Linked DNA regions of Schizosaccharomyces pombe. The gene in region 1 interacts genetically with each later gene. Each region holds a gene or a part of one and is shown in the gene's direction. Other genes may lie near its edges.

Region 1 (7,872 bases):
CCTAGCGGTACCAGCACCTCAACAGGAGTTATCCAGCAGGTGATTAAAAACGATAGCGGAGAGGAGACTCGTTATGAAATATTGAACGATCATACTGGAAAGGCTGCTACCTACAAGGAGAGAAACATTTCTCGTATCCTAGACTAATGTTTTAACGATCTGAGCAATTTTTTGTTGAATATGATATTTATTTATAAAAGTGTTTTATTTATTCGAAGGCAATACATGGTTTTCTGAGTATTGCTTAATTACCCTTTCTGAGTATCAACAATTGTATTGAATTTCTGTTAGCACACTTAATAGCTTCAATAAATTGCTACTGTTACCTTTTTTTCCTTTTTATTTAAGATTGTTACACATCAACAGTAAGCGTAAAAGTGGAAACCGTAGATATATTTTCGTCAATCATAAAAGGTCCTTATCAAGATGATGCATACATCTACCTGTATTAACTGTTTTATTCTTCATGCCTAACAAATTATGTTTAAATTGTACCAATGCACAAACCTCCTATTGCTTCTAATCATCCCCAATTGATTTATTCCTCTAATATATGAAACTGCAGCAACAATATAGCATTTATGCAACTAAAATATAATCCAATACTGTTTATTCTTTTTTAAAAAAAAAAACCAGTATAATTTAAGATACTTGCCATAGTTACTTTACAATATTATTTCGTTGTGGAAGAGGACATGTGTCAAATTTATCTACTCACTTTACGCCAACTATCGTCGACTAGTGTTCTAAACAAGATATGAGAATTGAAGTGCTTTTCAATGCAATTTCGTTAAATTATGTCAAGAGAAGAACAAATAAAAAAACTTAATCAATATTTGGATAATAGAGAGCTTGCCTTCCGAGCCAAAGATGGTGACAAAAATATATTTCATACTGAGAGCCAGCTGGATTCTTCTCTAAAGAAAAATACAGCATTTATGAAAAGATGTAAGTCCTCATTAACTTCTGAAAATTACGATTCCTTTATAAAGGAAATAAAAACCCTGTCTTTGAAAAAGTTCATTCCTGAAATTACCGCCGCCATCGTAGAAGGAATGATGAAATGTAAAGCTACTAAAGACATACTGTCGTCAGTCAAAATTGTTTGGGCTCTTAATCTGCGTTTTTCCACGGCTTTTACTGGACCCATGCTGGCCAACTTATACTGTGCTTTATACCCAAACCCAGGATACTCATTGTGTCACGAATCATACTTTGAACTAAAGCAAAATGAAAACGAAGTTTCCGAAAAGGACCGTTCCTCTCATTTACTCAAAGTTAGACCGCTCCTTAGGTTTTTGATTGAGTTTTGGTTAAATGGTGTTGTTGGCACTCCTGAGGATTTCGTCTCTTATTTACCTTCTACTGATTCGAATGATAAAAAGTTTCGTAAGCCATGGTTTGAAGAGCAAAATTTAAAAAAACCCTTGGTGGTTCTGCTATTCAATGACCTTATGGACACAAGATTTGGGTTTCTCTTGTTACCGGTTTTGACATCTTTGGTGAGGACTTTTTCTTGCGAACTTTTCACTACAGAGGATTTTGAAGATAAAGAAACTTTAGAACTAGTTAATCGCCTTAATCCGGTTGTGTGGAGGACTTATTTAAGAAAGTCGTTGAATTCCTACGTAGACAAATTAGAGGTCTACTGCCAAAAGCGAAAATCTCTTTTTGAAGAATTAAACAAACAATATCAAGAGCAAAGCATTATAAGGGCAGATCCAAACAATGAAAAATTCCAGCGCCTTGCTAACTTTTCAAAATCGATCGAGTCTGAATTTTCTTCTTATGCTTCTCTTTCAGAAGTATTGAATAGAAAAGCTTCCGAAGATCTCTTGGAACTCAACTTTATGGAAAAGGCTTCCTCTGGAACTAATAGCGTGTTTAATGCATCAGGCGAAAGGAGTGAGTCTGCCAATGTTGAAACGGCTCAAGTTTGGGATGATAGAGAGCAATATTTTTTTTACGAGGTGTTCCCAAATTTTAATGAAGGTTCTATAGCTGAAATGAAAAGTAGCATTTACGAATCCAGTCAGGAAGGTATTCGTTCTTCATCTGAAAACAATAAAAAAGAAGATGATCTTAAGGACTCAACGGGCGATCTAAATACAACGCAAGTAAGCTCAAGAGTTGATAACTTCTTGCTAAAATTACCCTCCATGGTTTCCTTAGAACTCACGAATGAAATGGCCTTGGAGTTTTACGACTTAAATACAAAGGCATCTAGGAATCGACTTATAAAGGCTTTGTGCACTATCCCTAGGACATCGTCTTTCCTTGTTCCTTATTATGTTCGATTAGCACGTATTCTTTCTCAACTTTCATCAGAGTTTTCCACTTCATTGGTAGATCATGCAAGACATTCGTTCAAAAGGATGATTCATCGAAAAGCTAAGCACGAATACGATACTAGATTGCTTATTGTTCGTTATATTTCTGAACTTACTAAATTTCAGTTGATGCCTTTCCACATGGTTTTTGAATGCTATAAATTGTGTATAAATGAGTTTACACCATTTGACTTGGAAGTTTTAGCATTACTTTTAGAAAGTTGTGGGAGATTTCTTCTTCGTTATCCGGAAACCAAGTTGCAAATGCAATCGTTTTTAGAAGCCATTCAGAAAAAAAAATTGGCTTCTGCGCTTGCCTCTCAAGATCAGCTTGTACTAGAAAATGCTTTACACTTCGTCAATCCGCCAAAGCGTGGTATCATAGTTTCAAAAAAAAAATCATTGAAAGAGGAATTCTTGTACGATTTAATTCAAATTCGTTTAAAAGATGACAATGTCTTTCCGACCCTTTTACTGCTTAGGAAGTTTGATTGGAAAGACGATTATCAAATTCTGTACAATACAATTATGGAGGTTTGGAATATAAAATATAATTCTTTAAATGCTCTTGCTCGTCTGCTTAGTGCGCTTTATAAGTTCCATCCAGAATTCTGTATTCATGTGATTGACGATACACTGGAAAGTTTGTTTTCAGCCGTTAATAATTCCGATCATGTGGAGAAGCAAAAAAGATTGGCACAAGCTCGATTTATATCTGAACTTTGTGTCATCCATATGCTCGACGTGCGTGCAATTACAAATTTTTTGTTCCATTTACTACCATTAGAGAAATTTGAATCTTTTTTAACCATGAAAGCGTCAACATTAACCAATATTAACAATGACATGTTTCGATTAAGACTTATTGTTGTAGTTTTGCAGACTTGTGGACCATCAATCATCCGTTCAAAAACGAAAAAGACGATGCTTACATATCTATTAGCTTATCAGTGTTATTTTCTCATTCAACCAGAAATGCCTTTAGATATGCTTTATGAATTTGAAGACGTGATAGGATATGTGCGACCTAGCATGAAAGTATACATGCATTATGAGGAAGCCAGGAATGCTCTAACGGAAAGGCTTCAGGCCATTTCTGATGATTGGGAAGAAGATGATACACGTCCAGTATTCCAGGGTGCTAATGATGGTGATATTAGCTCGAATGAAGAAAGTGTTTATCTGCCGGAAGATATATCAGATGAATCTGAAACAGACGAGGAATCATCGGGATTGGAAGAGTCTGATCTGTTGGATAGTGAAGACGAAGATATTGATAACGAAATGCAATTAAGTAGAGAGCTTGATGAAGAGTTTGAGCGCCTAACTAATGAAAGCTTACTGACTCGTATGCATGAGAAAAATCCGGGATTTGATGTTCCACTTCCTCTTAGAGCTTCTAGCCTAGGCTCTCCATATGTGACAAGAAATGAGGAATCAGCTAGCGAATCGTCGCACGTGATGTTTACTTTATTGACCAAAAGGGGAAATAAACAGCGTTCTCAATATTTAGAGATTCCCTCGCATTCTTCGTTGGTCAGGTCTACCAAGAATCAGCAAACTGAAGAAATAATGGAACGGAAACGTGTTAAAGAAATGGTTTTGAACTTCGAATAAGAGAAGCTCTTGTTTATCTTCGTCCTCTAAATACCGAAATTCTAAGCCATTGCTGGTAAATTACCTGCTTCGTTTACAACTAGAATAGACGAACCTTTTGTATAATATTTAGCTTTTTCATTACCAAATCAAAGCTTGCAATTTACTATGGTAGCCTTCTTTAATTATTTACATTCTAAAATATGCAAGCTAATTAGGTACAATACTTTATTAATACCAATTGAAAAACACTGAACAGTTCACTAATAATATGTTCGAAGCTAAGAAATTGATACATTATTATTTTCAGGAGATTTTTTATTATCTAACATGTAAATTTCTAATTTATAGAAGTCTTTTTGCTTTCAGTCAAAGGTGAAAACCATAACTTGCATAACGATACGTAATATGCTGCTGTATTCTGGCATTAAATCACTACCAAAACCTTTAAAAAAAAATATTGAACTTCAATTGTATTAAAAAGTATCGAGCATTATGTTTGGGTTTGGAAATATATTATATGGTAAGATGTTTTTGAACGCAGCTTTCTAATTTGTTAGTCACTTTATTGCTTTTAAACGCGGTTGCTATTCTTTCAGAGGATAGATTTTTAGGAAGAAGTATGAACTACAATTTTAACCAAATATGTTGTTCTAATTATTGAAAATAGTTGGATGGTCCCAAAGTGCTGCCCTGGGATTTGGTGATCGACAAGATACTATCAAAAGCCGAATTTTGCATTTAATTCGAGCTATAAGAACTGTCATGACTTGTAAGTATTAAAAACTTTATAATTTCTAATTTTAAATTTTAGTCCCTCTTATTGCCATAAACACGATTGTTATTGTTTATAACCTCGTCTTGGGATGATTAAAGGCTTTACGAATCTTTGTTAATGTCGCTCGCTTTTGATGCTGGTCTAAAAGCAGTGTTATCCATTATTTGATTTATCATATTTATACTCAAAAAAATTCAAGACAGGAACTTGATATTCAAGCGCTGATGTTCCAATTACTCATTTGTGAAAGTTTAACTTCAGAATCTAGCGGATTTAATAAATACAATCCTAATTCTTCAACAATTGTACTATCAAATATCGTCTAGTATTTTAAATTCATTTTCTGTGCTTTAATAAAAAATCCATATCGTCTACTAGAGGCATATTTTTTTGGTTCTTCTTGCTAAATTAAGCTCGTAAAATTCCTCTATTCGCCATATCTTCTTTGGCGTTTGATCTTCTCAGTAAATTATCACATAAGGTCATTTCCTTTTTATAAAGATAATGTGTAAACAAAGAAATGCGACTTCTAATTTACGTTTCTTTACTAGCCATTAGTTTATAAATAATAAAGCATACTGGACATTGCCTTAAAAATGCACCGAACTGTTGGTCTGCGGTATTTTGATATACAGCAATACATTAGAGCTTTATATTAAATAATACCGTTTCGTTAATATATGCAAGGCCAAAATATATACAAATAAATCGACTTAATTTTTTGCCCGTTGTCAATTACTTGACAGGAAACAATTGTGTATCTTTTTTCACACATCAATGCAATTTAATGGAAGCAATGGAATAGATGAAAGCAGTGTAATTGATTTGACGAGATCACCTTCTCCACCAGTCGAAACTTCTATTTCTTCAACAAATATCATTGATTTGGATGCTATTCCTGATGACAGCTTTCCATCATCTCCTGTTCTAAGTCCTCGAAGAAGGCGTATGAACCGGAGAAGGAATGAACGGTCTCGTAACTTTCCTTCAAATCATTTATCGTATTTGGAAGACATGATTTACTTAGGTCCTCAGGTGTCCACTCGTCGTTCTTCTTCACGTCGAGATTTGATGGGAATGATTGCCAGGACATTTCCTGAGTTTAGTTCTGTTAATTCCTTATCCCCTTCTCTTTTCCAGTTGATTGTGAACCGAATGAGATTTGACGCTATACATCCAGAATGGACTAACGGTTCAGACGACGAATATTTCTCTAACCATTTTGAAGAATCATATGATGATTTTACTTCTTCTTTAGAAAATATAAAACAGTCTTACAAGCCTCCAGGCCCTCCAAAATCTGGATTTACTAGAAGCTTTAACAATGATACATTGATGGTTTGTCCAAGATGTCAGGAACCATTAGGAACATCCAAAAGCAAAGAGAAATCTGCATTATGGGCAACAAAGTGTGGTCACGTCTATTGTGGCTCTTGTGCAAAAGTTTTGAAAACCAGTAAACGATCTCAGTCAAAATGTCTAGTGAATGACTGTGGCCGTTATTTAAATACGAAAAATGCCATGTGGGAATTATTTTATTGACGAACCTTGTACATTGAAAATGTAGTCCATTGTGTTGGATTTATAATGTCTATAATAATGAAATACGACCAAAATTATCACAATTTGTGACTGAGCTTTACTTACGAATTTTTTTTAAGTTGCTAATAGGTCCTCTTTCAATACAGCAGATTTAGATTTTAGTAAAAAATACTTTGATAAAACTTAATTGAACCTTTCTTGCAAACTCAAATAGTTATTATACATCAATTTGTGCTCCAGCGACAACATGTATTCTCCGGATACGAACAAAGGCCTTGTTTCTACAGCGATTCATAATCATTTTCCTCGAATTCATCGCCTAACAATTTTTCTAAAAGATTTAAAGCCTTGGCCTTTTTCTCATTTTTTTCCAGGTCAGCATCTAAATTTCGTTGTTAGTTTAGTCGACTCAAGGAGTTACCAACCTCTAATTTGGTTCATTTCTTTCATCAAATTATCCAGATCCGTCGATTGCATGTCTGGACTTCCTTTGAATCGTTCCGGGAGATAGAAATCTCCGGCATCATCCTTTTCTTCCGAGAAACTTTTATCAACTTGTGACAAGTTCCATTCGCAGCAATCGAGAATTTCTCGAACACGGTCCAGTCCTACTTTCTCTAAAGAGACTTGTTAATAAATAGAAGATTGGTTGACTTTACCATTGAATTCATTCACTCCTTCCTCGCTGATAGAAATATATTCTGGGGTAAACACATCAGGTGGTTCTAGTAATTTTTCATCTGACATGTGCAACCCAATTACCGGAATCTCTAGCTGTAGTTTATCTATAAAATTTTTAAAAAGAGACCACTCAGCTTCATCAAAACTTCGAAAAGTATATACAATGGCACCTAAGCTATCAATAACTTCCTTCGCTTCTTCAGAACTATAAGCATCCAAAGTTTCAGCTAAATTAGAATATTCTTCAATCCAAATACCAACCGAAGCTTCAAAATATTTATTTCTGATATTATACTTATGAATCAAGCCAGAATGATCATTGTTAAATGCCTCGTCATCTAACCCCTTCGGTAAAGAACCCGTCAAAGCTTTTCAATTAGTAATTGCAAATAGAACACTAATATTTACCCTTAATAAAATCTAGCTTTCCAGAATTAGAGCGACCTATAACCAAAATAACTCGCATATGATTTTATGTACTTAGCAAAAATTAATTCGCTTTTTTATATTTTCAATCAGTTCTGTAGAATATTAAACAAGTTTTTGGTGGATAAATAAATTCTCGAAAGACCTAAAGGTAAGGCAAATTGTGATTTTAACTACAGTCTAACAGTTTAATGAAACAAGGATTGAGCAATAGTATAGCGCAGTGTGATACATTCCTAAATCAATAATGGTTTAGTTTATCACTAACGAAGGTTGGTACGTAATTTTACGTGTCCCTAACTCTGTGTTATACGCACACGCATAAATGGCTTTAAATACCAAGACGCACAAAAATTAAAGTTGACGAATTTGTCGTGCTTTGGAGTGACTTAGAATTTTAAATGCAAACAATAGACTACTATATATTAAAAGAAATATGTCGTTCACAAATGCCACGTTTTCGCAAGTGCTGGATGATTTATCAGCTAGATTTATCTTGAATTTACCAGCAGAGGAGCA
Region 2 (7,524 bases), 790 kb from region 1:
TCCCCTTATAATTATACCTTCTAATCTTTTTAGTTGTCTTGTTTAAGAAAAAAATTTAACTAAAATAATAATCGTCAATAACTTAAGCATACGAGAGCTTAAACTTTTTTGTCATTATGTAAAGCTGAATAACATCGCTAAATATTAATAAGTCCATCAATCTATCTTCCCACATTAAATATGTTGACATTCTTTTCGAACGTTGATTTTCATTTTTTTCAACTTTAGTTTTCATCTTTTTTGCTTTTTTGAAGGGTTTCCTTCTTCAGAACTAATATCTCCTTCTGTAACACCTTGATAAATGGGAGTTGGCTGAGTTTCCGAGTACATTTTCGTGAACATAGGATTTGATTTTGCAACGTCAGCATATTTGAGAAGGGCCTCACGAGGATCTTCATTAAGCATGGTTGCCAAAGGAATGTCATCGACAGAGTTTTCTTCTAGCAAGCGACCAACTTGAGGCTGCCGAGAAAGCTTAGGATCTTTGCGTACTGCATTGCGCCGACGCCGTGCTTCCAAAAAATAAGCTGATGCGGATTCAGTCGTTTCCTCTACAAGCCCAAAATCAGAAGTTCCAGCGGATCCACTCAATGAGTTTATATGCACAGTGCTAGATAAGTCGTCATCAATATGCTTCGACTTAGGAGGGCGCATTGCTGCATCCTTAACTCCTCGTATGGACTCATTAGGCGAAAAGAGAACATATGCGTTGCCATCAGCCGACCCCAAAGAAACCTGATTTATTTTTTCGTTCCAAGAGACAGCTGAAACGGAAGCAGTAACCGTCGACTTGGAATCGAAGAATAACGTAGCTTTCGTATCTAATGTCATTGCGTCTAAAACGAATAAAGGTGCTTTCATGCTATTGACAGCTGTAGAACCAGCAAGTATAAGCTTTTGGGTAGGAGAAAATATTGCGTTGCCTCCAGCTTTAGGAGTTAAAATGTCTATACGCTCATTCACACATTTATTAGAATTTCGCAAGTCCCAAACACGAAGGGCATTGTCTTCTCCTCTACTTAACAAATAATTTCCGTCCTGTGAAAAACTAAGACAGGAAATACCTTGTTGTGGTAAATGTGCATCCTTAATTTTCATAACAGGTCGTTTAGTACGAGAACCCTTTTGCCAAAATTGTATGGATCCATCCAGTACAGCAGTTGCAAAATTATCGGGTTTTGCTGGATTCCAAGCACAACTTGTAACTGGTATACGAGACAGTCCGGTGTGAGAACCTTCTGGTACATGGACGAAAACTTCCAATTGCGATTTTGTGCGATTAACATCCCAAATACGCGCAGTACTATCATACCCAGTAGTTAAAAATATTTGAGAGCTATCAGGCTGCCAGCAGCCATCAGTAATTTCAGCTATATGTCCTTTTGTATTGTACATGTTACGGATATATTGATCTCCCTTACTAAACCGTACAATCAACGAGCCATCACGGTCATATAAAATCGGCTGAGAATGGGTATACAATGCAAGGATTTGGTTTTTAGTAGAGCAACTTAATTTGCTCACTGGATAACGACCAACATTGTCAGCATTTGTGTCTGTAGGATCGATAATTTTGAAAGGATGAGGATTAGTAGCAGACAAGCCATTTAAGTCCCAACAATGGATTGTGTTGTCCAAAGATCCGGTGTAAAAACGTGACCCATTTTTGTCAAACGTAGTAGTGGTAACAATCTTACCAAAAATTAGTAAAAATGTAGTAAAAGCAGAAAACTACAAAATCAACTTACCTTAGAATGTCCCGGAAACATAATTTCATGCGAACCTGGTACGCCAACGTCCGTAATGTCGTCCTCATTCTCTTCGCTATCCCAATCCTCAGAGTCTGAGGATTGTAAAGTAGTACTCTTTGAGTTGAGTTTTGATTCGGATTCTTTTTCTACACTGTTTATCAAAAAGCTTTCTTTCGGTCTTATGAATCTTGCAATTAACGCATTTATATCGTATGTTTGTGCTTGCTTGCCAAACTGTAAGGGAATTGTATTATTTGTGCCATCCATTTACGAAAATCTGGATATTGTAAAATTTTAGAGGCTGATATATTGTTTCCCTATTATTTTTTTCAAATAGCCATTTAACTAACTGACAACAAGTTGTTCAAAATATTTTGTAACGAAAAGTGCAGGGTGAGAAGTTTCAATTACTGAGTTGTGGGGTGTGGCAGCACTACGTACTTCATTCTACCCAAGTTAGCGATTTAGGCTTTGCTAATTGATTTATCTCCTAAGAAGATTACATTGAAGCTTACGAGGAGTACATATTTTCGTTGCCGCTCTAAAAATAAAGATTTATAGCAGTGTGCATATTCTTTTTCTTCAACACACAGTGATGCCGAATCATTTGAATTTCACGGGGTTGATCGATTTTACCTACAAGTTGCATTAAAAAAAACTGATAAGATTATAATTGCTTTGGGATTTAATAAAGGTTTATGCTTTGTGTTGTATGAATCTGCATGGACTAGAATGTAAGTGAAAATTTCGGTTTATAGAATATATGTTAACGTCTACACGTTTCTAGTACCAGGAAGGGATCAGAGGTTAAGCCCTGAGGTTATTGACCTAACCGAAGATATAGAAGATGACGGTGCGGATGTTTCAGAAGTTACTTTGCTAGATTTAACGAGAATACCAGAGTTCCAGCCTCGTCGAAGGATTCGTACAAGCCGTAACCACCTTGACGCTAATCTTTCTAATGTTCCAACTATTAATTCTATTCCTTCTCCAGTCACTCGACCTCCCGTGGCTGTTGGAGGGGGGATATTCTATGGTGCACGAAGGACTAGAAACAGGTCTCAAACCCAACGGAGAACCCTTCTTGAAAATGGGTTTCGAAATTCAAGAAAAAAAGCTCAGGATTCATCAAATTCTATCGCCGAAAGGGTATCTCCTCCACCTGGGTTTTGTTATGATGTCCATCCTCATAATAATATTGCATGCGCAAAATGTGGAAATGAGTTAGTAAGTGATGAGAAAAAATCCATTTTTGCTGCAAAGTGTGGACACTTATTTTGTTCTACTTGTGCAAAAGAGTTACGCAAGAAGACTGTGCCTTGTCCGGTGCAACATTGTAGAAAGCGTATAACCAAAAAATTTATATTTCCTTTATATTTATAATTTATCGATTGGATACTAAGTGTTATCCATAGAGGATATTTGGCGGTTAAGTAATACGCTGGCGATTTTTTGGAACGTTTTGTTTTGCTTTAATAACCAGTAATGGTTTTAAAGGATACGAGTTTTTGTAATGCTTATAAGAACTAAGGTGCTCTATTATCCTCAATGAAAAGATTTATTCATTATTGACGATTATTTCCCCTTTTTTCAATTATTTATTCCCGTCTTCGAGGCTATCACACAAAAACAATTGCTTTTCTTTCTATATTGATTCATCATTTTTCGTACAAGGGAAATTAATTAGAGCTTTTCTTACCCTAAAACCTTCTACAAAAAACAAATCTGGATTCAATCTTTTCAATACACTATTTAGATGAGTATTATTTGGGATACTAGGAATTCTCGTAATGTTCAATTTCATGTTGAATTTATTTATTTACTGCAAATTAAAATATTCTTCAGCTAAAAATCTTAGTATATTCAAGGGAGTTTCCTGAAAGAGTTTTTTCTGAATTTCAAATATACAGTAATGTTTGTTTATAATTTACAGTATCTAATCGATTCAAGTATTTAAACATTGTATATATAATATATATATACTGCTTAACGTACTAAACCCACAGTGTGCTACATTACGTTACTCATTGCAGCAAAGATTATGAGCAGTTGATTCAAGTGCTAACCATGTTCCAAGTGTAAAAACAGAGACTTTGCTAGGCAATTTAGGGAAAGAGATACGTTAGCAGTGATTTGACACGCTCATTAATATCATAGTATCACTTTTCCGTTTCGGTCATTCTAGAGTTTTATTTTAAAAAAGCCGAGTTTCGTTGATTCTTGCTTTTGTGCTGTACTTGCACAGGGCGTTATGGAATCGACATTCCATTCAGATACTCTCGATTCTTTTCCAAATTATCAGGAAAATAGTTTAAACACTAATGAGGAACAGACCAATCCCTTAGAATCGTTAAGGGATGGATGGGCTTCGTCAAACAGTTCGTCTTCGTCGAGTCTTCTTCTTCCAGACGAAAATGAGGGAAATGAAGTCTTTGGAAGCTTAAAAGGGCTAGTTACCCAGTCAAAATTTGGTCAATGGGCTAACAAATTAAGCAAGTCTTTGCAAGCAAGAAGACGAAAGTCTGAATCAATCTCAAAACCCCGAGTTTACTATTCAGTGTTCATGGCTCCTTCTTGGGTTTTGCATGCAGAAAAGCATTGGGAGGAATACCCCCATTACGCTGGATATGATTATAAAGACTACGTTCGACTCCTTGATGCTACAAAGGAAGCAATCGCCCACGGCGTTTTCCCGGTCCTTATTTCCAAGGGGTCCTCTGGATCTTATTTTGTGAAAAATAAAGTCCAAAAAAATATAGCTGTATTTAAACCCAAAGATGAAGAACCGTATGGAAAGCTAAATCCTAAATGGACGAAATGGTTCCATCGAAATTTATTTCCTTGCTTTTTTGGGAGAAGTTGTCTAATTCCGAATACTTCGTATCTTTCAGAAGCCGCTGCTTGTGTTCTAGATAGAGGTCTGGGTTTGTATTTAGTTCCATACACGTCTGTTGCATCAATTTCTTCTCCAACCTTCAATTATGATTATTTTGCACGAAAAGCTTTTCTGACAAGGAATAAGCCTCTTCCTGAAAAGACTGGATCTTTTCAGCAGTTTCTTGATGGTTTCGTCGTTGCATCCAAGTTTTTTGCTCAACATCCCTGGCCTGGTACTCGACATAGAGAAACCCGAGAGTACACGGAGTCTGTAGCTTCCAGCGAGGACTTCGACATTTTCGATCCTTTCTTAGCTGAGAACGAAATTGAGACCGAATTTTGGACCGAAGAATTACGCCTTAAATTCCGGTTTGAATTTGAAAAACTTGTTTTGCTCGATTATTTAATGCGTAATACAGATCGTAATTTGGATAACTGGATGATCAAGATTTGTTACGAACCCTGTGATAATGAAGAATATTATAAATCAATTAATCTTTTATCTACGAATTTAACACCTAATATGTCTGCGAACTCGGTAGACCCTGCTATTTCCCAAACGTCGGATTTTTGGAAGGGACCACATTTTCAAATAGGAGCGATAGATAATTCGTTAGCATTCCCTTATAAACATCCGGATTCTTGGAGGTCCTTTCCTTATGGTTGGCTCTCTTTACCACGCTCCTTATTTACGCAACCTTTTACAGAGTTTACCAGGCAACTCTTTTTACACAAGTTGACTAGCCGAGAATGGTGGGAAAAACTAAGTGATGATTTACGAAACGTATTCAATCAAGATTTAGATTTCGATGAGAAAATGTTTTCGCGGCAACTTTCACTTGTAAAAGGGCAAGCCTACAATATTGTTGAAGTTTTAAAGAATCCCCTCATGAATATTTATGATTTACTTGAGCTCCCTAATTTATATGTTGTTGAGGATGTTGTTCGTATCGAAGTAAATGAGCCAACGTCTGCGAATTCTGAAGAAGCAGAATTTGGTTTACCAATTAAACGAGATTATGGGAGTATTTTGCACCCTTCATGTTCACAAACTTTCCCTCCTTATCCAGGAAGCCAATTATTACAAGCGACACCCGGTCGGTCTTTTTCGTCAAATGCTGAAGCACTTCTGCCGTTAAATTATATTACCCTGTTGTCCAAAGATAGTTCATCTCCAAAAATGTTAAAGGATGTAATTTTTGAAAGACTCCAGTGTGCTTCTTCCAATGCGGTCTTTAGCACGTGTTAATATAAGTCTTGTGTAATAGTATGCTACTATTTCCGAGGATTAAGTCTTTGAAGGTATCATATGTTATTTTCTCGCCTGTTCTTTCTAAGTTCCTTGTTAATTTAATTTTTCCATCATTTTATTGCTACTTCATTCTATTTTATTAATATTAGTTTGATGTTAGCGGTTAACATGAAGGTCTCTAATCATAATTGAGGAATTTAATTTTTTTACCATACAAATCCGACATTACCTGAAATCCTCATAATTGTCCATTGATAACAAAATTTATTATATTTTTAGCTACAGTTTACTCTCTTTTTTTTGTGTTTATTCTACCCATAATTAGTTCTGTTTGAGTTTATAATTGCTTTGCGTTTGCGATTCTTTCCTAGATTATTATTCAAAAATGTTCAATTCATTAAGTATTAGGATCTACTGCTTGTGAATGATTGGAAAAAATGTGCTATTTCTTAAGCCTGTTTACAATCAAATATGTTTAAACATTGCAAAAACGCTTACGTGCTTTTCGATATCAATTTAACGTTTGTTTCAAACATTAAGGTTGAAATGAACACCAATTTTTAATGTATGAAGTTTTGTTACATCCTTATTATCAATAATTTATTTCGAATATAAAACAAAGCAAATGGTTATGAAGAAAATAAAAAATGTTAGTGTAAACTGTTATCCTTGCTAAGCTGCCACATTTGTACGTTGATATTCAGGCAGCTCAGTAAGGCGAAGTTGAGGCTATTCAAGCTCAGCCCTTACGTCTAGTGCGAACCAACCATAATCAAAAAATTAAACGAAAATTTATAAATTCCATATTGTGGCTGAAATAATACTACTTAAAAACTTTCTAACAAAACCTTTGTTTCTGTTGCATGAATTTCTTTCATTGATTTCTTAGGTTTATATTGTTAGTAGACAAACAGTGAATTTCCTTACTGTCCCTTTTTCCCTTCAAGTCTTTAGGATCTACTTTTCATTTCTAATAATTGATTTCTTTGACACAGTCCTCGATTTTGGAGCTGGATTCTTCATTTGAGGCAACAAATTGATTAAAGGACTTAGATATAACAGTGTTTGGGAAATACTGTGAAATTCCTACTTATGTCCTAAATTACGAGGATTTTTATTATATGTTTTTTTTTTCTGTTGTTGTAACCTGTCTAATTTTTTGCAAACTGGAAATTTCTTTTTCAGTTGATACCTAATTTGCACTTCATCTAAACAACTGAGTCTTAAATATTAACAGGTTTTACTTGCCTTTTGAATTATTATTTCCCTTTTATTTGTCTTTAACTTTCATTAGCGGCCCTGGATTTGTATCAAGGCTCAACCCGTATATCGTCTTCTTCGTCTCGGTTTTTTAAAACTATGAAAGACGATAAGGGAAGGTCAGATACTGTGAATGGCTACTATATCTCCAATTCAAAGCTTTCAAGCGGCTTTTATAAACGCAATAATGCCAACACAGCCTCAAACGATGAGAAACCTAATTTAGAGCAAAATGATATTCCTAGCGTTACTAGCTCTGGTTCTTCAACACCTAGCTCTATTTCCATAGAAAAGGAAATTAAAATCTCAAAGGGGAATGTTATAGTTAAGGCTATACGAAGCTGGTCTCTTTATGTTGCAATCATCGCCATTCTTTTATTATTA
Region 3 (8,434 bases), on another chromosome or scaffold:
TATCGTAGCAAAGAAATACTGGAAACGGAACGTTAAAAATAAAATATATGACAGTCCAAATGTTGTCAATAAGCTTTACATGTGCTCTATTTGACAATGCTATGGAATTTCGACGATGAGGAGTAGAATTCAACGTGCTTCCATAGTGCTGATGACTACTAGTATTAATAGAGGAGCCAATCAGTGCGTCTTCTTCATGAGTAGTTTGTGTGGTTACTACATTGTCTACAAAGTAATTAATTCGAATTATCGTCATTATACAGCAGGTAAAAGTACAAAGGTATGAAAGCGTCACCCAATATGTAGAACCAAGCTGAAAGTAAATGGATAAAATAACCGAAACAATAAAAACCAAGTACCATAAAATTTGAGCGTACCAGATAAAAACAATTTCGATGGAACTAAGGTCTTCAGAAGAAAGCTTACTGTGAGTCGCAGCCGCCCTAAATGAAAACGCCAAAGCAATTAAGTTTGTGAGATAAAATAAAGCAAGGATTAAACCGGTATGAGAATTGATCACATAAGGATTTATCCATGTTAACAATAATACGGTCAAGGTATCAAATATGGAAACAAAAATACAGGAAACAACGAAACAAACAGTATATCTAGGCTTCTTGAGCTGCTCGTAAAGTGAAGGAAAGCGAATTAAAGTTAATAATAAAACAATCGGGCAAATGACAGCGAAAATTATGTTCAAAACTTGATATATAGGTAAATTCAATTGCCAATACTTTCCAAAAGCAAGAAAAAACATCGGTTTACGAAATTTAGTTAAGTCTGACTTAGAGTCGTTGAGTAAATTTTTAACAGCATTCGACGCAGTGTACATCATATGTCGAAGTGAACTGGGCATTAGGTGATTAATGTCATCTTTCCTTGTATGATAAATATCTCTATTCTCATAAAAAGCGATATCTAAGCCTGCAGTATGATTGTGCATTTTCTCATACACAATGTAATCAGTTTGACTTCGAATGACACCCCTCTTGAAAAAGTCGTTACCTAATATCGAAGCGAGGGGATAATGATTTCCTTTGAAGTAGGCGCTACTGACATGTCCATTGCTTGACCGAAAAAGCATCGCTTTTCCACCTGAACCGGCTCCTTCCAAATTGACGAAAGCAGTAACGTTTTTTGAGAGTTTATGGGAAGCAAAAGCTTTAGCACCAAAAAGATAATCCTCCTCAGCATTGTTTATGTTTATTATCAAATCTCTGTTCGGTTGATTTTTAGCATAATATCGGGCAATCGCCATCACAGTTGCAACTCCCATACCATCATCAGTAGCACCATAGCCAGTGGATACAGAATCAAAATGTGCTGACAGGAGTATGGGAAACAAATCCTTCGATTTCCCTTCGAATTTAACAAGAATGTTATCTCCTTCAAAATATGTAAGAGTATCGTTGTCAGTCGATTCGAAAGTAATGTTTGTTAAAGTATCATCGATAACTGTAATATATGATTGATTTGTAGCTTCCAGCTCTCGCATACTTTTTAGTATGTAGGATCGAACATGTTCATTTTGCTTGGAATTATAGGGATGAGGCAAACTTGATATATACTCTAGGTCATTCCAAGCTCGTTGAAACTCCAAATCTTTTAGCAAATTAGGTCCTGGAACTTGGGCAATCCGTTTCCAATCTAATAGATATAAGATAAGCAGTACAGTGAATCCAAAAATCGAGCAGGTTAAACTGGACTGAAAAGCCTTAGCACATATGCGTTCAAATATATGCCGTCTAGAATTTGTCATTACAAGATATAATTCGTAAATAAATTAATTAATTAATGAAGATTTAAAGGAATGTAGATTAATATATGGCGTTGAAAAAAGCACGTTGGTAGTCGATATTGACATCAGCCAATCTCAGTATTACTATATACAGTATCTTCTGCTATTCTCAAATTCACTTAGGATAAAAACCTTAGGAAGAATCACTTGAATCATCGGAGAGCTCACTACGCTTCCTTTTTTCCTTCCTCTGGTTGTAAGGCTTTATATTACTTCCATTCACCACAAAGCAATAATGTCGTGAATCTCGCAATTCACCTTTCCATGGCGATCTCTCGCTGATTCCATCAATCCAACCGATAGTTCTTCTGTGTGAATATTCGGGATAAAAAGAAGAGTCAAACTTTTCAGTCATCAGACTCGTATACCCTGCATCCTTGGCTAAACCTTTCAAATTCCACAAAGTGTAAGGTTTGGTCTCCGCTAAAGTTATTACAATTACGCCTTTTTCTGACAGAAGGAATTTAGATGCTTTAAAAAAGGCAAGAAGCATTTCTAGAATTAATTAGCGATATTCGAGATATGTCTCATTAAAAGTAATAAAAGCTATTATGAACGGCGTTTCCAAATTTATTTTTTAAATTATTTACGAATAAAAAACTTTAACTTCAAACTTACTTTGATTATCCAAAATGTTGCGGTCTTGATCCTTAATTCCTTTCCCCGAGTGAGGAAAATTCCAAAATATAGTATCAAATTTTTGTGTCTTAAGCTTTTTATGCAGATGCAGTTTCGTTGCATCAATTTCATGCATAACCTTTCCCCCATTTATTTCTATTTTTGAGATGTATTCAGCAGCATCTGGATATTTCTGCTTTAAATCTTCTTTAGAGTCATAGCTGGTAGCTAACACAAACCCCTCAGATGATACATGATGTAGCAATAATGAAAAAGCAAACGAAAAGTTGCCTTCTCCCAATAATAGAAATCTATTGTTTTTTTCAAATGGGAGTACATATCGCTCAGTGGGGCCTTTGTTCTTCCCTTTTCCAATTTTGTCGTTTGTTAAAGAATTCTGGCTATTTATACTTGACGAACCAATAGCATTATTTAAATTTCTTTTTTGAAGACGTCTTGCTTCTTTAAAACGAGCCTTTTTCCCCATATGAATGAAAACGATTGTTTTCAATTATTTGGCTAAAGACACTTCACTACTCGTGGATACAAATTTAGGTGTAACCCAATGTTCTCTTACTCGCTTGCTTAATCTTTAAAATAAAAAGCGAGTTAAACGGAATGTAAGAATAAAAATTTTCACGACAAACTAGCAATAAGTAAACTAGTATTTTCTCAATGAACTGTTTTGATATATCCTAATTTAACTCTTGCTTAATATATCTTTAGAAACAAATATACATCAGTTTAGTGAAATATACGATATATATGGTGAAATGTTTGCGACATTAAATAAATAGGTTCAATTAAACTCTATAAGAAAACTTCAAAAAAGATCTAAAGAAAAATTAAAAACAGAAAAAAAAAACAAATAACAAAAATTAATTGATCAAACCACAAAAACAAAACGAAATTAAACCACTTGCCCGACTACCTCGACTCCGTCCTCAAATACATAAGACTTATCGTCGGTTGGAGAAGGCGCATTCTTTTCTTGCTCTAGCTCATGGTTGACGATGAGCTGTCTTTGTTCTGCAACTTCAATTGCGCGACGTCTTTCCTCTTCAAAATTTTCACGAATTTTTTGCAATTCTTTCTCCATTTCTTCAACCGGACGAAACACCTTTCCTGAAACTTTACTATATTCTTCCATATCTAATTTAAATGGTTATTATTTGAGTACTCACACAATGTCTTACCAATAGGTTTTTTAATTTTCAAAGCTTGATTAACACGTGCAGGATTTCTTCTTTCTTCTTGTTTAAACTTTAGTTTTATCTGTCGACGATTACGAGTTGGAAACATATTAGCAATTAAAGCAAAATCAGTTCCCCACTGTGATAGAGCCTGCCATGTCAGTAAATACGAGCGCAATTCCTCCATACCTTATAAAATTTTTCAGTATCCATAGCGTTCCATTTCTCAGGTTTCTGCCTATTTCCCCAAGTAGCACTTGTAACCCGACGACTTAAAGAATTTTCTTCAACGTATTCGCGTTCCTCTGCTGGTACAAAATCACGTTCATGACGGTCGACTTCTAGTGAGGTTTCATCCAGAACAATTTGGCCATTAACAACTCGCGTACGAGGAGTTGCAGAGTAATTGGAGTTGTTATTCAAACCATCAACTTCCATTTTATCTGCTAACTGATCAAGAATAGACTTTGTTGGGTGAGAGAGACTATCTTCGAGAGAAGCAGACTCATCCGTACCCTCTTCTTCCAAACTTCCTACTATTTCTTCTTTCTCTTTCGGTTCGCTTGATTCTAGAAGACTGGCACTCAAAGGCTGTTTGATGGTAGAATCTAAAGACGCTTCTCGACTAGAGCTTGCAGTACTTGCTCCTTGTTTTTTAATCCTCTTTGCTCGTTTTTCCTCAAAAAGCATTTTTTCTAATTCGATAAATCGTTGACTTTTGCGGCCAATTCCAGGATCATCACATAAAGCAGACATTTTGGTTTCACTTATGTTAATGATTTTCTCGTCGGTACCCACGTTTTCCAATATCAATTGACTTTTTCTTTTCAAAGAAGATTCTATGATGTTATTAAATAATGCATTTTAGATTAACCCTTTATTTACGTACCTCTATATGAACGGCGAGACTTTTTTGTAGCCGGAGAATCCGCCTTTCCGTCACTAACAGCACTGAGCTGAGAAAGGGGAATGTTCTCATCAAAAAACAAATCTAATTCCTTCATAAATTGCTGTTCGGCTGAAGAGGATAAATCGGTTTCAGGCGACAAATGCTCAATAGCATTTAACGGCTGCTCAAGAACCGTTGGCTTAGAAATTTTAAAAGTAGGATTTGAATGCAAAAGTTTTTCATTTTGTTTCACTGAATCATCTTTTCTATAGGATGAAGCTGTGGGATTTTCAGTTGCCTCTTTGTGAACTACTGTTTGCACAACCGGACTAGAAATATCAGCATTGGCAGTATCACGAGACAGCTGAGCGGATGTTTCTACTTCGTTTCCTGTGAGGGGTTGATTTTTTTCTTCATGAACAACCTCTTTTTGGTCCGATACTTTCTCTCTACGGGCTGTAAATTTAGGGGCAAACCTTGACATTGATTTTTCTGGTAAAACATTAGTGGAAAGCCCTACTACTTAAAAAAACGTACTTGTAGGTGAGGTTAATATTTGCGAGCTCATTGAGTCTGTTTAGACTGTAACTTCGACTCAATTGCATGAATTTCAAAAATTATGTGGCAGTGCGCATATGTTTGTACAAACATTTGCCTGTTGTCCATGAACCAGTAATATTTTAATAAAGAGGTTATATCCTGGGTATAACTGTACAACGAAACCAAGCAAGCCCGTCTGAATAGATTAATATATATGTGTAAAAAGTTTTATAGTCGCAATGATTGAGTAAGATATAAAATTAACTAAAGGTAGAAATAATCAGGGTCAGCCTCGAACAAACTTAGTTATTATAAAACGCTGGAAATGTAAGCTATAGTTTACAGATAAAGCAAGAAAATACTTTACACTAATATGAATAGTAGAATAAATTCAGCAATTTAGATAACCACCGAAGGAATTGAAGAAGCCATTGTCGTTAGCTAATGTTTATTTTGTCATTGCCAATATTAATTATATTATACAAATTACTACTTCGTAGGCGACTTTAAAGACAGGCATAACTAAGGTAAAGAAACATATTATTATAGCGAGGAATCTATTTGACTCACTAACGAGACATGACTACCATGTACAGATAACCTGAAAAAACTCATTAACCGTAGGAATTGGCTTAGTGAATGTTAATGAGCACATATTTTGATCCTAAGTACTTTATTTTAATTATAAAATAGAAAAGGAATTTTTTTGAAGTGGAATGAGCGTTGTGAATGAATCGAGGAAAAGAAGACGTCTTATTCACAGCGAAAAAGAAACGCGTCGTTTAGACCTCGGAGAAGAAGATGACTTAGAGTTATTTCAAAAGGAAGCAGCTTGGCGAAGATCTAGAGAGTATGAGCATCTCACTGTTTTGGAAAAGAAATTATACGAGTATTGGGAATCTCTAGTTTTGAAACTTGATCATTACGTTGCTGCTGCTCTGGAAAATCATGAACAATCATTTGAAGAACTAGAGAAAATCACTGCTTCTTTATATCAACCTGATGATAATTTACAGACACTAGATTTGTCACTTGCTGAGTTCAGTTTAATCAAAGATGCGCAAAACTATTTGAATAAGTATGCTTCCTATTTTCAAGCCCATGAACCTACTCTACAAAAGTTAGCTAAATTTGGTTCTTTTAAATTAAAAGAAACTCCAAACGTCCATGAATGGATAGACCAACGCCAGGTTCATTTTACAAGTATGATTAATTACCGTACTAGCCAACTTAAGTTGGCACTCCTAAAAAGGAAACTTTCCTTCTTTCGTGAAGCTTTGAATTCAGCTGAATTAGAATGGAAACGGGTGCAGCAAGATCAGCTTACTAGTGCTTCCGAAAGAAGTATTGAAAATATCGCTGATGATATCCCTGCTTCGGAACCAAAAGCAATTCTCGAAAATGGGGAAGGATGTTTAAATGATAATGATAATATTTCAAAACTAAAAAACAATTTTCAATCTCAAGCTGATTTGATGCAAGCAAATATAAATTCCAAATTGGATGAACTTTCTCAAAAATCAACTCGTGCAGCACAATTGTACGTCGACATTATGGGTATAACGGATGAAAGAGTGAGTAGAGAGCCCCATTATTTAGAGCTGAAGGGGGTTCTTTCTTCAAATGAAGAGAAAATCGAATCCATTAATCGGGACCTCTCTTCATTGTTTGAGGACATTCAGTTTTTTATTTCTCAACGGACGAAACGACAGAAGGATATTATTGATTTAAAATTGGCATGTGTAAAAGAGAAACAACAACTTATTAAAACCCTTGAATCATCTTTAACCCAAATTCGTAACGAACGAGACTCTCTAGTGGCGAAACAACAAATGCAATATACTAACAATCTATTTTTTGACGATATGATGCTTTTATTAAGCAACTTGTCAAACGCTCGGGTTGCAATTCTAGAAGGTTATTCAAATCGATTGTGCATATGGGATCGTATTGAAAGGTCTAAGACTGGTGAGATGAATAATGTCCTAGATGAAAAAGAAGAAATTTCTGCGTCTTCAGCTTTGGAAAAACTAATAAAAAATAATAGTTGTTTGGAGGCTGAACTCCCAAGTATGTATGCAGCATTTGATCAATCACAATCTCGTTTGTTGAAGAAATATGAAGAACTTGAAACGAAGGAGAAAAAAGCTTTGGAAATGCATTATGAAAAGGCTCGTGCCACCCAAAAATATTTTGCTGCCATGAAAGCTCGGGACATTCTTATGACAGAGAAGAAAACTCTTAAACTGGCCGAAAATAAAGAACATGATTATATAGGGAAGTTGCAAGAGCGAGAACATGCGCTAACAAAATATGAATCCTCTTTAAAAGCTGAATTGGAAGTTTATAAACAAATAAAGGAAATCTACGGGAAACACTCGGTCGAAGTTTTAACAGAAGATAAGCACTTACAAGTTAAGCAAACAAAACTTACTCAAAAACTTGAAGATCTTATAGAGTCTGTTCAAAAATCTGGGGAAAAGCTTATGATCATGCATCAGAAGTTGTTTCATTTGCAAGAAGAGCATACTATTTTATCCATAAAAGCTTCGTATAATAAGAAAGAGTCTCATCTTATAAACCAGGCATATGAAACACAAGAGGCTCAAGTATACAAAGGAATGTTAAAATGCTCCGTGTGCAACTTTTCTAATTGGAAATCTAAACTCATTCCAAACTGTGGTCATGCCTTTTGTTCTAATTGTATGGAACCTTTTTATGAGCATAAAACAAGTACATGTCCGCAGTGTGAAACACCTTTTTCGGTTTCCGACATTTTGACCATTCATCTTTAATTCTAGATCATCTTTTATATGATTAACGTAATGTTTTTGTTATTTTGGTACATAATATATTTTTTGGCATCAATAGTTATTGAAAGAATAGTCAATCCTATATACATATATATATATATATATATATATTTATTTATTTATTTACATATAAATATGTATGCTTTTTTTAATAAAAAACTAGTAATATCTATCAATTTGATTAACTTATTCCATTAAGCAACTTCGTTCATTCATATGCTAGTTTCGCAAGTCTAGCATCATGACTCACTCTCCATTATCCATGTGCCAAAAATAGAGGGTGTGTATCTGTAGCGACTGTAACTAGCGAAATAGGAAACAATTAATTACTATTAATTATTTTTTTAAATATTGGTAAATTAATTTATATTGGCAGCGGAATTATAATAATTCATCTCATTTTCTATTGATACGCGTGCAATCCCATTGAACAATGAGTCTGGCCGAGGATTGGATTGATCCTAATTCTTCTGAAGATTCAGATATTCAAGAAGATGCGGAATTGGAATACACAGCTGATAATCCCGAAAAGGAGCAAAGAGGTGTATTTTCCTTAGAGAAGGTGCAACTGCAGTTCCCTGTT

The links.
Region 2: mutations in rfp1 (region 1) and rfp2 are lethal when combined (synthetic lethality), as found in Schizosaccharomyces pombe (3 studies listed by BioGRID, with this or other methods).
Region 3: mutations in rfp1 (region 1) and brl1 impair growth when combined (synthetic growth defect), as found in Schizosaccharomyces pombe (one study listed by BioGRID).

What each region holds. Positions count from the first base shown.
Region 1 is NC_003424.3:2,464,869-2,472,740, reverse strand, and holds rfp1 (SUMO-targeted ubiquitin-protein ligase subunit Rfp1), read left to right. Parts: upstream 1-5,431; 5' UTR 5,432-5,481; coding exon 5,482-6,246; 3' UTR 6,247-6,527; coding exon of another isoform or gene 6,528-6,628; 3' UTR 6,629-6,671; coding exon of another isoform or gene 6,672-6,863; 3' UTR 6,864-6,905; coding exon of another isoform or gene 6,906-7,295; 3' UTR 7,296-7,335; downstream 7,336-7,872. Other genes in the region: protein prl65, read left to right, coding at 1-147; nonsense-mediated decay protein Upf2, read left to right, coding at 798-3,947; transport protein Yos1, read left to right, coding at 4,422-4,449, 4,487-4,546, 4,597-4,698, 4,741-4,796; recombination protein Irc6, read right to left, coding at 6,528-6,628, 6,672-6,863, 6,906-7,295, 7,336-7,393; mRNA-decapping complex catalytic subunit Dcp2, read left to right, coding at 7,790-7,872.
Region 2 is NC_003424.3:1,677,951-1,685,474, forward strand, and holds rfp2 (SUMO-targeted ubiquitin-protein ligase subunit Rfp2), read left to right. Parts: upstream 1-2,217; 5' UTR 2,218-2,463; coding exon 2,464-2,485; intron 2,486-2,538; coding exon 2,539-3,134; 3' UTR 3,135-3,521; downstream 3,522-7,524. Other genes in the region: wdr70 (WD repeat-containing protein), read right to left, coding at 232-1,692, 1,749-2,018; 1-phosphatidylinositol 4-kinase Lsb6, read left to right, coding at 4,003-5,877; bst1 (GPI inositol deacylase), read left to right, coding at 7,240-7,524. UniProt on the Schizosaccharomyces pombe protein: Mediates ubiquitination and subsequent desumoylation/degradation of sumoylated proteins and proteins containing SUMO-like domains. Involved in maintaining genome stability where it acts in the cellular response to DNA damage.
Region 3 is NC_003421.2:2,234,221-2,242,654, forward strand, and holds brl1 (histone H2B-K119 ubiquitin ligase complex (HULC) subunit, ubiquitin-protein ligase E3 Brl1), read left to right. Parts: upstream 1-5,626; 5' UTR 5,627-5,754; coding exon 5,755-7,833; 3' UTR 7,834-7,934; downstream 7,935-8,434. Other genes in the region: erm2 (aminopeptidase), read right to left, coding at 1-1,759; rRNA (uridine-N3-)-methyltransferase Bmt5, read right to left, coding at 1,932-2,293, 2,417-2,903; transcription factor TFIIIB complex subunit Bdp1, read right to left, coding at 3,327-3,568, 3,613-3,760, 3,799-4,448, 4,499-4,990, 5,036-5,066; pep3 (ubiquitin-protein ligase E3), read left to right, coding at 8,285-8,434. UniProt on the Schizosaccharomyces pombe protein: E3 ubiquitin-protein ligase which belongs to the histone H2B ubiquitin ligase complex (HULC) which mediates monoubiquitination of histone H2B to form H2BK123ub1.